Linked DNA regions of Rattus norvegicus. The protein of the gene in region 1 purifies or fractionates together with the protein of each later gene. This does not show direct contact. Links are inferred from orthologs where the notes say so. Each region holds a gene or a part of one and is shown in the gene's direction. Other genes may lie near its edges.

What was found.
Region 2: the proteins of Vcp (region 1) and Hspb1 purify together in Homo sapiens (affinity purification with mass spectrometry; 3 studies listed by BioGRID and IntAct, with this or other methods). This does not show direct contact. The link is inferred for Rattus norvegicus from reciprocal best matches to the Homo sapiens genes VCP and HSPB1.
Region 3: the proteins of Vcp (region 1) and Tubb5 purify together in Homo sapiens (affinity purification with mass spectrometry; 4 studies listed by BioGRID, with this or other methods). This does not show direct contact. The link is inferred for Rattus norvegicus from reciprocal best matches to the Homo sapiens genes VCP and TUBB.

Annotation. Positions count from the first base shown.
Region 1 is NC_086023.1:62,022,544-62,026,947, reverse strand, and holds the start of Vcp (transitional endoplasmic reticulum ATPase), read left to right. Parts: upstream 1-1,560; 5' UTR 1,561-1,771; coding exon 1,772-1,788; intron 1,789-4,404. UniProt on the Homo sapiens protein: Necessary for the fragmentation of Golgi stacks during mitosis and for their reassembly after mitosis. Involved in the formation of the transitional endoplasmic reticulum (tER).
Region 2 is NC_086030.1:26,430,051-26,433,500, reverse strand, and holds Hspb1 (heat shock protein beta-1), read left to right. Parts: upstream 1-1,199; 5' UTR 1,200-1,333; coding exon 1,334-1,709; intron 1,710-2,370; coding exon 2,371-2,434; intron 2,435-2,545; coding exon 2,546-2,726; 3' UTR 2,727-2,861; downstream 2,862-3,450. UniProt on the Homo sapiens protein: Small heat shock protein which functions as a molecular chaperone probably maintaining denatured proteins in a folding-competent state. Plays a role in stress resistance and actin organization.
Region 3 is NC_086038.1:2,916,079-2,920,465, forward strand, and holds the start of Tubb5 (tubulin beta-5 chain), read left to right. Parts: upstream 1-1,498; 5' UTR 1,499-1,694; coding exon 1,695-1,751; intron 1,752-3,036; coding exon 3,037-3,145; intron 3,146-3,484; coding exon 3,485-3,595; intron 3,596-3,726; coding exon 3,727-4,387. UniProt on the Homo sapiens protein: Tubulin is the major constituent of microtubules, a cylinder consisting of laterally associated linear protofilaments composed of alpha- and beta-tubulin heterodimers.

The DNA of each region.
Region 1 (4,404 bases):
CATCTCTAGAAACAGTCAGTCTCAGGTCAGTCTGTGTGGGTAGGAGGTGAAGGGTGAATTGAGTCAGGATGCCACCCAGAGCCAACAGTCTTTTGACTATAATGAAAGCCAGTTAATTGTCTTTTGGGGCACAGGGACCTTAAATCACAGCACATGGTTGATCTTTCTTGCTCTTGGGCACTACTACGTTTGCTATGTGTTCTGCAGTTGTCCTTGACTTTCTTGAACCTCAGTGCGCTCCCTCTCCAGATAATATTTATACTCTGTGTTAAGGAGTACAGACTCCCAAACCCTGAGGAATCACAAAGCCTGCATCATTAGAAGAGAGTGCAATGGCAATCGAGTGGATTAAGAGCTGGGGTGCTGATTCAGAACTCTAGGGTTCAGAGAGGAGGGGGTGGGGTGGAGCTAGGAGTCTCCATTTTCTTTTTTTCTTTCTTCCTTACTTCCCTCCCTTCCTCCCTTTCTTCCTTCCTTCCTTCCCTCCCTCCCTCCCTTCCTTCCTTCCTTCCTTCCTTCCTTCCTTCCTTCCTTCCTTCCTTCCTTCCTCCCTCCCTTCCTTCCTCCCTTCCTTCCTTCCTTCCGTTCTTTTTTGTAGACCAGAGTCCAGCTATGCAGCATTAGCTGGCTTCAAACTGTCAATCTCCTGCCTTTAGCCTCTGGAGTACTGAGATCTAGGGTGTACACCACCATACCCACTTGTTTTTGCTTGTTTTAAAATTTTATTTACTTAGTTTTGAGTATCATTTGGCTGGCTGGAACTCTTTTTTATAGGCCAGGCTGACTTAAAACTCACAGAGAGCCGCCTGCCTCCGAAGTGCTGACATTAAATGCATGTACTACCACACTGCTTTTAAAATTTATTGAGATACTGTTTGAGACTAGAATTATAGCTATGTGCCATTACGCCGACATGGTTTTGTTTTTCAGAAAAGGTCTTGTATCCTGGGTTGATCTCCATCTAATAGTCCTCCTGCCTCAGCTTCCCAATTGCTAAAAATACAGACCTAGCCCATCCACCACGCCCTTCGTTGGAGCCAGTGTTTTAAAGGAGCACGAAGGATTTTAGTATGGTGGAGTAAGAGGATCCCTAGGATTGGCGAGAAATGAACTATGTGGATTATTATTACAACTCAGCTAAACTAATAAGGGTTCAAGCCTTTGTGCGAGGTTCTCCCAGCTGCTTATAAACTAAGGAGCCAATCAATTGGAGCCAAGTAGAGGAAACCTCCTTCGGAGGGATAAAGACTCTCCTTTTACCAGAGGATCTGGCCTATTGCTTTTGTCGATTGGTCAAGACTCCCTATGCGTCGAGGAAGCGTAGTGCTACGGCCAATTGACGTGGCGTTACTAGGCGTGTTGCAGCCTTGAGGCGGGGCTAGGCCACAAACGAATTTTCTGATTGGTTATCGTCTGTGGGTTGCTGGGGAGAGGCACGGAGAGGCGGGCACGAGTCCTAAGGCAGTCGCTGATTGGTTGAGGTTAGAGCAGCTTTCCTTCCGATGATTCGGCTTTTCTCGGTTCAGTCTCCGTGAAGCGTTTGCAGCCGTCGTTTGATTAGTCGCCTCTCGCGGATTAGGAGCTAGCGTCTCCCGCCCGCCTGCCGCCCCGGTGCCGCTGGGAGGAAGCGAGAGGGAGGCTGCCTGTGGGTTTGTCACTGCTGTTGCTCCTCCACCTGAGTGAGTCAAGCCCGGGCCTAGTCGGTCGCCTACCATTCTCGTAGCCGTTACCCTCAGGCCGCCACAGCCGCCGACCGGGAGAGGCGCGCGCCATGGCCTCTGGAGCCGAGTAAGTGTATGCGCGTGCCCGCCCGCCGGCTGCGGGGGCGCGCACCGTGGGACCTGCCGTGCTGGGTAGGCCCGGTCGGGCCGCGTCTGAAAGTCTAGGCCGGGAGAGAGAGAGAGACGGAAGGAGAGGCAAGGGGCGAGTGAGGGCCTCGGGCCGGGCTGTGCACCCGCGCGCCCCCTAGGTCGGGCCCGCGCTGGGCCTGGGTCGGAGCCTGGACAAGATGGTGCTGTGTCATGCAGGCCCCGGCGGCCTGAGTACCTCCCTCGGCACGCCGGCCCCGGCCTAGTTAGGCCTTAGGGTCCACACTCCCCGCATGGAGCCCTTTGGCGCTAGGACGCCGGTCGGCCATTTCGCCGACCATATACAGAAGACCCCGAGCCTGAGAAGAGAAAACACTGCGAGCCTGAGGCCCGGACTGGGCCCAGTGGGCGTGGACTTTGGGCCACGTGAAGGCCTCAGGAGCCCCAAGACTCAAGGGAAGGCTGGGCCGGAAGACCTGGGGGAAGCCCAGGCTGGTCTTGGTGGATCTGGGACGGTGTTGCCCGAAGTTGGCATGTTTTGAACCACATGTAGAGAGAGGGCAGGTCATGCCTTTCTCAAATGGCAGTTTTTCACCTTGTTAGGCCTGTTGTAAACACCCGGAAGTTTTACCTAGTTTTATTGTTGTTGTTGTTATTGTTGTTTTGCTTTGTGTATTTATCTTTGTTTTTGCTATGATCGGAAGTGGCTAGAAAGGAGGTGTTTTTCTTTTATTTTGAGGTGCTGAAGTTAGAATTCGGTTGTTTTTCTTGTTTTGTTTTGTTTGTTCTTGGCTTGGAGAACTTGCAGGTTAGAGTTGGCTTATCTCTTCAAAAGAAATACATCTCTCTCCCCAAGCATCTATGCTGACTCTCTGGACATTATGGCCCCACCTTCATCTTTCAGAAAGCATCAAATAAAATTTAGCCGTCTCAGCCCATTTAGTTAGAAACTAGAGCTTCCCATACAAAAACAAAGCAAAACCAAATAGCAAGTGTAGGGAACTATAAGATCCCGCTGTTTCGAGTGGTTTAGGTTTCATTTCCTTCGGATGAAGTATTCACTCAGTTATTTGGTTAAAAGAACTATTAATATTTTAAATAGCTAGGGTGGGTGGTATTTTGTACACCTTTAATCTCAGCACTTGAAAGAAAGGCAGAGGAGCACGTTACTAGACTAGCTACTCTGGGAGTCTACGCATTCAGGCCCTGTCTCAAAAAACAACAAAATAGACTTTTAAAATACTGTCAGTATTTCAATTGTTGTTTTTTTTTTTTTTAAGTTAAATTTTTTTTGTTTGTTTGTTTGTTTTTTGAGACAGGGTTTCTCTGTGTAACCCCTGGCTGTCCTGGAACTCACTCTGTAGACCAGCCTGTCCTTAAACTCAGGGAAGTCTTTCTGCCTCTGTCTCTCAAGTGTTGGGACCAAAGGTGTGAGCCTCCACTGCCCTGTGGTTTGTTTTTTCTTTTTTGAGATCAGGGAATAATGTAGGCCAAATTGACTTCAAACTCAGCCTTGTGTTTGAACTCCTGTCTTGCTGTCACTACCTCCCATAAAATGGGATAATAGGAATGTCACAGTATGTTCCACTTAAATCTAGATTTTTGTTTGTTTGTTTGTTTTAAAATTAGAATTCCTAAAATCTGGCATCGTGGGCAGTTTGTATCTTTAGGTCATCTTGCTGATTCTTACCTGAATTTCCAAGTTCCTTTTGTGGTCCTTGAGTTCTGGAAAGAACCTGAGTCATGCAGATGATGGGAGGAGAACATACAGAGCTGTAGTTGCTCCTCAGCTCTTTTGGAGTTACTGACTCTAATCTCCACAGGATTTTGGAGAATTACAGGACTTTAAGGGCCAGGGTCTGGACAGGTATGTAGATTGGAGGTTCTCCTGAAAGGCACTTTTGAGAATAAAATACAAAGTGATCACTTGAGGTACTCCTGTAAATCAAGCAAGAAGATGAGCAGCCTCTTGGACAAGATATTTTCATAGATAAGAGGCAGTAGAAAATTTGGTGGGTTTACACACATTTATTTTTGGAATCAACAGCATTGTGGCCAAAGTGACATAACTTTTGAAGGAGACAAGAGCTAAGGAAACTCCCATTACTCTAAAGTAATGGTTAGAGATGTAACAACATTGCTGAGTGTGGTGGTGCATGTCTGTGGTTCTAATAGAGACCGGAGGATCACTGCAAGTTCAAGGTCATCTTGGTTTTACATAGCAGGCAGAACTATATATAGCAAGACCCTTTTTTAAATAAGTGAGGGTAAGGTATTTCTTGTGGCACTGCTTTTTTTGTTTGATTTTGCTGTCTCATCTCGCCCCTAGAAGAATGCTTTGTAGACATCCATTTATCATCACTACTATTCTTGAAACAGTCTTGCTATGCAGTTTAGGCTGGCTTGGAGCCTTTTGCCAATTACTGAGATAACAGGCATGGACCATACTATGTCTGGATTTCATTAATTTGTTGAAGAAATAGTTTTTCCCCTTCATTTGCTTTTTCCTTTGTTAGACCTCTGTTTCAGTTAATATTCATGCTTCTCAAACCTTGAAAAGCATTTTTTGCTTGGTTGGTTTCTTTTTGGTGAGTTA
Region 2 (3,450 bases), on another chromosome or scaffold:
ACCAAGAGAGCACATACAGTCGTGAGAAGCTGGGGGAGGGGAGCCCCAAGAACTGGAGACGTTTATGAGTAAGGGGCAGGGTGAGAAGGGCTGAGAAGAGCTAAGAGTAGTATTTCAGTTGCCCAGTGAGCCCAGAGGCCAGTGCTCATTGGTATGCTAATAGACATCACAGGTGACCTTTAACCCTAGTTTCTTTTGTATGGACCACAAAGCAATCCATATAAAAGCTGGAGGTGGCTACCATGTGATGCCTCTAGCCTTTAATCCCAACTCTCCCAGAGGAAACGGCAGGCCGATCTGTGAGATCCAGGCCAGCCTAGTCTAATGAGTTCTAAGACAACCAGGACTACACAGAAAAATCCTGTTTTGAAAAAAGATCCTAATCCTAGCGCTAGGCTGGAGGGGTGGGGCAGTTGCAGAAACAGGAGGATGCTAGGGGGTTCACTGCCCATCCAGTTTGCAGGCACCAGGCTTGATGTCTCCCGAGAGATGGCTCAGCGATTAGGGGGACTGACTGCTCTTCCTAGTACCCAGGTTCAAATTCTAGCACCCGCAGGGCACTCCGAGATCTGACACTCTCTGTAGCTCCAAGATCTGACACTCTCACACAGACGTACAAGCAGGCAAAACGCTGATACACAAAAAATAATGTTTAAAAAAGCATTAAAACAAAAAAGAAAAACCCTGTCTCAAAGAAAGAGAGAAAGGAAGGAGGGAAGGAAGAGAAAAAGAAGTCTCAGGGTCAGTAAGATATTTAGTGGACGAAGGCGCCTGCCACCAAGCCTTTGGTCCCCAAAGAGACACATGGTAGAAGACAGCTAGTCTGGCTGGTCATCCAGAGACCTCCACAGGTGTGCCCTGACAAGTGTGTCCCCACAGGCCTCCTTCTGGCTCAGACCAGGTTCAGTTGCTTCCTAATTGCGACACAAAAGACCGTACCCCTCCTGGTTTATTCTCCACAAACGATGGGACTGGCCCCAGGCCACCGCCCTTCAGACTGCAGCGTTCTAAGCGACAGTGGGAACTGCTCCAGCTACCGGTATTACAGTCATTTGTTTTCTTCAACTAGAGAAGTTTCCAGATGGGGGCAGAACCTTCCTGGCCCTGCCTGCCCGCCCCCTTCGTAAGCTTAGGGGGAGGAATGCAGAGGGGAGGGGCGGCGAGGGACGGCCCCTTAGACGGTCATTGCCATTAATAGAGACCTGAAGCACCGCCTGCTAAAAATACCCGGCTGGACACCCATAAAAGCACAGTTGGGGCTCCAGCTCGGCACTTCTCGGATCCTCAGCCCAGTGCTTCTAGATCCTCAGCCCTGACCAGCTCAGCCAAGACCATGACCGAGCGCCGCGTGCCCTTCTCGCTACTGCGGAGCCCCAGCTGGGAGCCGTTCCGGGACTGGTACCCTGCCCACAGCCGCCTCTTCGATCAAGCTTTCGGGGTGCCTCGGTTTCCCGATGAGTGGTCTCAGTGGTTCAGCTCCGCTGGTTGGCCCGGCTATGTGCGCCCTCTGCCCGCCGCGACCGCCGAGGGCCCCGCAGCAGTGACCCTGGCCGCGCCCGCCTTCAGCCGGGCGCTCAACCGGCAACTCAGCAGCGGTGTCTCAGAGATCCGACAGACGGCCGATCGCTGGCGCGTGTCCCTGGACGTCAACCACTTCGCTCCTGAGGAGCTCACAGTTAAGACCAAGGAAGGCGTGGTGGAGATCACTGGTGAGTTTCCCTTATCCCAAGAGGGGACGAAGCTGGTGGGGCGAGCGAGTAACGTGGTGGCAGTGGAGGTGGGGGGTGGGGGTGGGTGCTGAAACCATGAGGGACAGGACCCTGAAAAGTTAGAAATGAGCTCAGGGACCCGGAGACCCGCGTCATTCTCCCTAGCCTGCTTCTCTTGCCCCGGAACGCGGGGTGCAGGTTTGCTCCTAAAAGCTCTGTCATCTTCGATGATAAGGACCAACAGCTGGGGGTGTAGCTCAGGGCAGAGTCTTGCCTGGCAAGCCCGGAGGCCTTGAGGCCTTGACCACCCGCAGCACAGAAACAAAATGAAGGAAGACCCAAGGCACCTTCTGGAAGACCTCATCCCCAAATAAGCAAGTGGCAGGACTCCAGTCAGGGTCCCTAGACCCAGCCGCGGTGGGGGCGTGCGCACAGCTTCGAGTATGCCTACGCTGGCATCCAAGCCTGGGTCAGAGCCAAGCCCAGGTCCGGGACCTTTGCATCCCAAATCTCAGAAGCGAACTTTCTGGAAAGTTTTAAGATCCCAGACAGTCAGGCATCCCACCACACTCTTAATTTGTTTGCCTCCTTGGGGCCCCAGCCATTCCTTAGCTAGGACTGCAGAGGGCTGCCTCTGACCTCCTTCTGTCCCCACCCACAGGCAAGCACGAAGAAAGGCAGGATGAACATGGCTACATCTCTCGGTGCTTCACCCGGAAATACACGTGAGTTCTGGTTCCTTGCATGGAGAGCTGGGGGGTGGGGGAGCGGACCCTGGGCGGAGGGCGGGGTCAGGAGGGATGTGTAACCCTTGTCCTTTGTTTCTGCTCCTCTAGGCTCCCTCCAGGTGTGGACCCCACCCTGGTGTCCTCTTCCCTGTCCCCTGAGGGCACACTCACCGTGGAGGCTCCGCTGCCCAAAGCAGTCACACAATCAGCGGAGATCACCATTCCGGTCACTTTCGAGGCCCGTGCCCAAATTGGAGGCCCAGAGTCGGAACAGTCTGGAGCCAAGTAGAAGCCTTCAGCTTGCTACCCATCCCCAGTAGCCGTCACCAGCCCTCCCTCTCTGTCAATCTGAATGCTCTTTTGATACATGTACTTTCTGTTTTTCTCAAATAAAAGTTGGAAACTACTGCTCACCACCCTCTCAGAATCCAGAGTTGTTATGGTGGGCTAGGGATGAGTGTTTCTAATTGGAGCACCCTTTGGGGTCTTTGCTAAGTGTTTGCTCTAGGCTCAGCCCCTTCCTCCGTCCAGCCTAATATTCCCCTAGGAAGAGGCAGGGGGTGGGGTGGGGTGGGGGGAGTAACCTGGAGATTAAATTTACCAGACTAGGAATGGTGGTATATGCCTGTAATTCCAATACCCAGAAGTTAATGCAGAAGCATTGTGAATTGGAAGCCAGCCTGGGCTACAGAGTTCTTAGAGTGACTGGGCCACATACATGCTGTCTTCAAAACCAACCAGACAAACAAACATAATAGGAGCTTGGGGTGTGGCTCAATAGAGTGTCCTATGGTGTGCATGAAGCACCATTTGATCCTCTACATCAAATAAACCGGGTACGGTGGCACATTCCAGAAGTGGAGGATCAGAAAGGAGTTCGAGGTTATCCTGGGCTACGTGGCCAAAGTGAGGCCAGCCTGGGATACATGAAAACACCTTAAAGGTAAAAAAAAAAAAAAAAAAAAAAAAAGAGTCAGCCAGACCTACTACTCATCAGATCCAAAGGAAACTCC
Region 3 (4,387 bases), on another chromosome or scaffold:
TACAGAAGAGGATGTTGAGTCCCCTGGACCTGGAGTTATGGATGGTGGAGAGTTTCTATGTGGGCGATGGGAATTGAACCTGTTCTGAGAACAATAAATGCTCTTAATTGCTGAGCCATCTCTCTGGCCCCAAATATGTTTTGTGTCCAAGACAGGCTCTTGTTTTGTCGATCAGGTTAGCCTCCAAAGTGCAAGTATCTTTCTGCCTCCACCTCTCTATTGTTTGGGAGGTAGGGCAGGCACAATCTAATTTTTCCTTTCTATTTGTTCACTTAGAGATTAAACCTAAAGCTGTGCCTCAGGTTGTCCAGGTAGTCTCTAGGTAGCCCAAGCTGACCTTGAACTTCTCTTGCCTTCTAGTCAGGATTCTGGGATTAACCGTGTGAACCACTCCTGCTCTTATTCTAATGAATCATTTTGTATCTCCTTAAAGGTTTGAGGATACTTAGTATTTTTCAAAACCCTGGAAAGAAAAGCTTACGAGCTCTGACTTGGGCCCATTCAATTCCCATCTTCCCTCTCAGTTCCAGGACATTGCCACAGACTCACCTAATGAATAAAATCAACTAACTGGAAAACAAAACACAACAAAAAAACCAACAAAACAAAACAAAACAAAAAGAAACAAACAAAAGCCCTTGCAAGTGTCTGAGATGGAGGCACTATATAAAGACTAGCATTCTCTTAGTCTGTCCACTCCAGTCTATACTGACAAGATGACCAGGATGTCTTCAGTGTCTAAAGGCCCGAATCTCCCAGAGATTTTACACACACCTCCATTCTTTTGGGACATCAGCTCCATGCAGATTCTCCATGATCCTTGCAATTTTGTTTCTCTTTTGAAAACCCCTGAGACACCTCCCATGGAAACAGAAGGGCAATTCTTTCATTCCTGTCTTGGGATCACAAAGAACTAGACACTGTGTATCAGGGAAGGAGCACACAGTTCTCAGGATTTTCCGCTGAGCTGTGCAGTCTGGCCTTCCCAGACCTTCTGCGGTGGGCAGCTGGCAGGGCGTGCCCAACCCACCTTCCAACTCAGGCACCTCAGATCTCATCTAATTACTATATTTCCCCAAACCTCTTTTCGTACAAAATCCTCTCTCAGGAATAGAGGCTAGGAATCGAGAGGTCATTTTTCATGAAAAATAAAATAAAATCACACACACACACACACACACACACACACACACACACACACACACACACACACACACACACACACACACACACACACACACGCGATACCCCCTAATCCTCCCACAGTACCCACCCATCTTTAACTTCTTTTTGCAGCGTGGACAATAGAGAACTACAACTCCCAAAAAGGACTGCGCTCGCCACTGGCTCAGAGACCAATGGCCGTCTGGCACGTGATCCGCTGGTCTAATCAGCGACTGGTTGGGTAGGCTTTGTCTGCAACCCGAGGCGCCCGCCCATCTCCCGCCCCCGGCCGCGCGAACGCGCGCCCCGCCCTGCGCGCCTTCCCTCCTGCGCTCGCCGGCCTCTTCTGCCTCTTAGAACCTTCCTGCGGTCGTGCTCGCATCTCTCTGCAGCAGCCTCCGGGGCTACGTTCCATCCTATCAGTCTGAGACCAGCCCAGAAGAAAAAAACCAAAAATCCTTAATTATCTTCTTTTGCTCGGTACCTACATTGGGACCATCAAAAAAAGATTATTACAGTAAACCGTAGCCATGAGGGAAATCGTGCACATCCAGGCCGGACAGTGTGGCAACCAGATCGGTGCTAAGGTAAGAATTTTATAATTTTAGATGAAATATGTAAGGATGAGATATCTGTGTTAATCGTGAGCAATGCTAACGGGGCGTTTGCATTCTCCGCTCGTCAGATTTGGCCCCTCAAAGTTTTGTACGTATAAATATAACCCATATTTGTAGCTAGCGTTCTAATATTGAGAAAATGTTTTTCTTGGCACATCTTCGGAAAGCTATTAAGAGACGCTTTTGAGTTCGGGGAAAAGGAGAGGCTGGGGGACTCTAAAGAACTGGTATTAAAAGGGGTTTTCTAACGGTCCGAGGACAGGAGGGATGCGGAAACGATCCGAGACAAAGCCGAGGCGAGGTTTTCCCCTTGCGCCACCCCCACCCCGCCTGGAGGGCCCTACTGGAACAGAATGGAGGGGGAAGGGGCGAGGTTTGGCGGGCAGCTGCAGAGATGCCCCGGTGCGCATTACCTCAACAAAGGCTTGGATACTCCATAGAACCCGCCTTCCCAAGGCTTTTTTTAGATTATGATTCTATGTAGGGCACTACTTTTACTTTTCATTGCCCTTAAAAGAGGTCTTAGGGTGTGAGCGGACAGAAAGTGTGAGCTTTTCAAGTATGTGAGAGACTGTCGGGGAGATTAAGGAGAGAGAAAGAAGGAAGGGAATAAAGATCGGAGGCCATGGGGTTTTTAAAAATTTTCCCCCCGTTTGCGGGCAATTGCCCTGTAGCGGGGGAGGGGGAGGGAGGAAGTGCGGCCGCTACATTGCAGCCGAAGGGTGGGACCCTCTTGGGGGCGGGGCTGGAGCCCCTGGCGCGCAGGGACAATGCGGCCCGGGCCCGCGGGGGCGCACTGGCCCCGCCCCTCGAGCTAGGCCCCGCCCGCACTGCTCCCGCCTTTGTGGTTTGCTGGAGGAGCGGCCCGCCACCGCAGTCACGTGGAGCGCGTAAGGGGTGGGCGACTGCAGTGGCCGCACCTTTCTCCCCCAACCCTCTTTTGTGCTGGCCAGGAAGGGCGGTGCCTGGCTTCAGGAACCAAACCTAGGTGCTGAGCCAAGAAGGTGGGCGCCAATCCGCCCATGTAGATGCTTACAGTCCCCGGCCCTTTGAATCGCCAGTCATCCGTCCTATCCACTAAGGTTGTAACCTTCCGGGGCGTAGGCTCCTCGGTAGAGGGTTCCGCAAGCAGATAACGGAATTGCAGTGTCTGCACCACAGCTTCGTTTGAGCATGTCTGGAATCGAAATGAGGGGCGGGCGGCATCCCTTAGGACTTGAGCCATTGAGGCCTCACTGCTCTCTTCCTTATGCAGTTCTGGGAGGTGATAAGCGATGAACACGGCATCGACCCCACCGGCACCTACCACGGAGACAGCGACTTGCAGCTGGACCGAATCTCTGTGTACTACAATGAAGCTACAGGTGAGGGAAGAAATCCCGATTCTTCTGCGTGCCCCCCTATTGAGACAGGGACCCCATTCATCACTGGCCGCCCTGGAACTCACATAGATCGGTCTACCTTCCAAGTGTTGGGTTTAAAGGCAGCATCACCACCCTGTTTTCCCACACTTGGGTATCAGTTACCCCTCTGTGAGACTCCCATTTTTCCCCCCTTACACACACACCTTATGGGGCTGAAGGTTGGCTCTACTGCCACCAGGTGGTAGTGCCTGGAATGACAACTTTAGTGATATGTGGCTGATTTCTCCACCCCAAATTTGAGCTATTTCATCGCTGATCGAACATCTTGAATACTTGTAGGTGGCAAGTATGTCCCTCGAGCTATCTTAGTGGATCTAGAACCCGGGACTATGGACTCCGTTCGCTCAGGTCCTTTTGGCCAGATCTTCAGACCGGACAACTTTGTTTTTGGTGAGTTATGTGGAACGGATTCCCATGTGTCCCCCAGTGGGATTATTTCAAACGTTGAAAGATTAAGAAGTATTGTGTTTCTCTCATATGTGATTAGGCTTTTTAAATTTTTCCCCCTTATTACATTCCAGGTCAGTCTGGGGCAGGCAACAACTGGGCTAAGGGTCACTACACAGAGGGAGCTGAGCTGGTTGACTCTGTCTTGGATGTGGTGCGGAAGGAGGCGGAGAGCTGTGACTGCCTGCAAGGCTTTCAGCTGACCCATTCGCTGGGTGGAGGCACGGGCTCTGGCATGGGCACCCTGCTCATCAGCAAGATTCGAGAAGAATACCCCGACCGCATCATGAACACCTTTAGCGTGGTGCCCTCACCCAAAGTGTCTGACACCGTGGTTGAGCCCTACAACGCCACCCTGTCCGTCCACCAGTTGGTAGAGAACACAGATGAGACCTACTGCATTGACAACGAGGCCCTCTACGACATCTGCTTCCGTACCCTTAAGCTCACCACGCCAACCTACGGAGACCTGAACCATCTCGTCTCTGCCACCATGAGCGGTGTCACCACCTGCCTCCGTTTCCCGGGCCAGCTGAACGCCGACCTTCGGAAGCTGGCTGTCAACATGGTGCCCTTCCCGCGTCTCCACTTCTTTATGCCTGGCTTTGCCCCTCTCACCAGCCGTGGAAGCCAGCAGTACCGGGCCCTCACTGTGCCTGAACTCACCCAGCAGGTCTTCGACGCCAAGAACATGATGGCCGCCTGTGACCCACGCCACGGCCGGTACCTCACGGT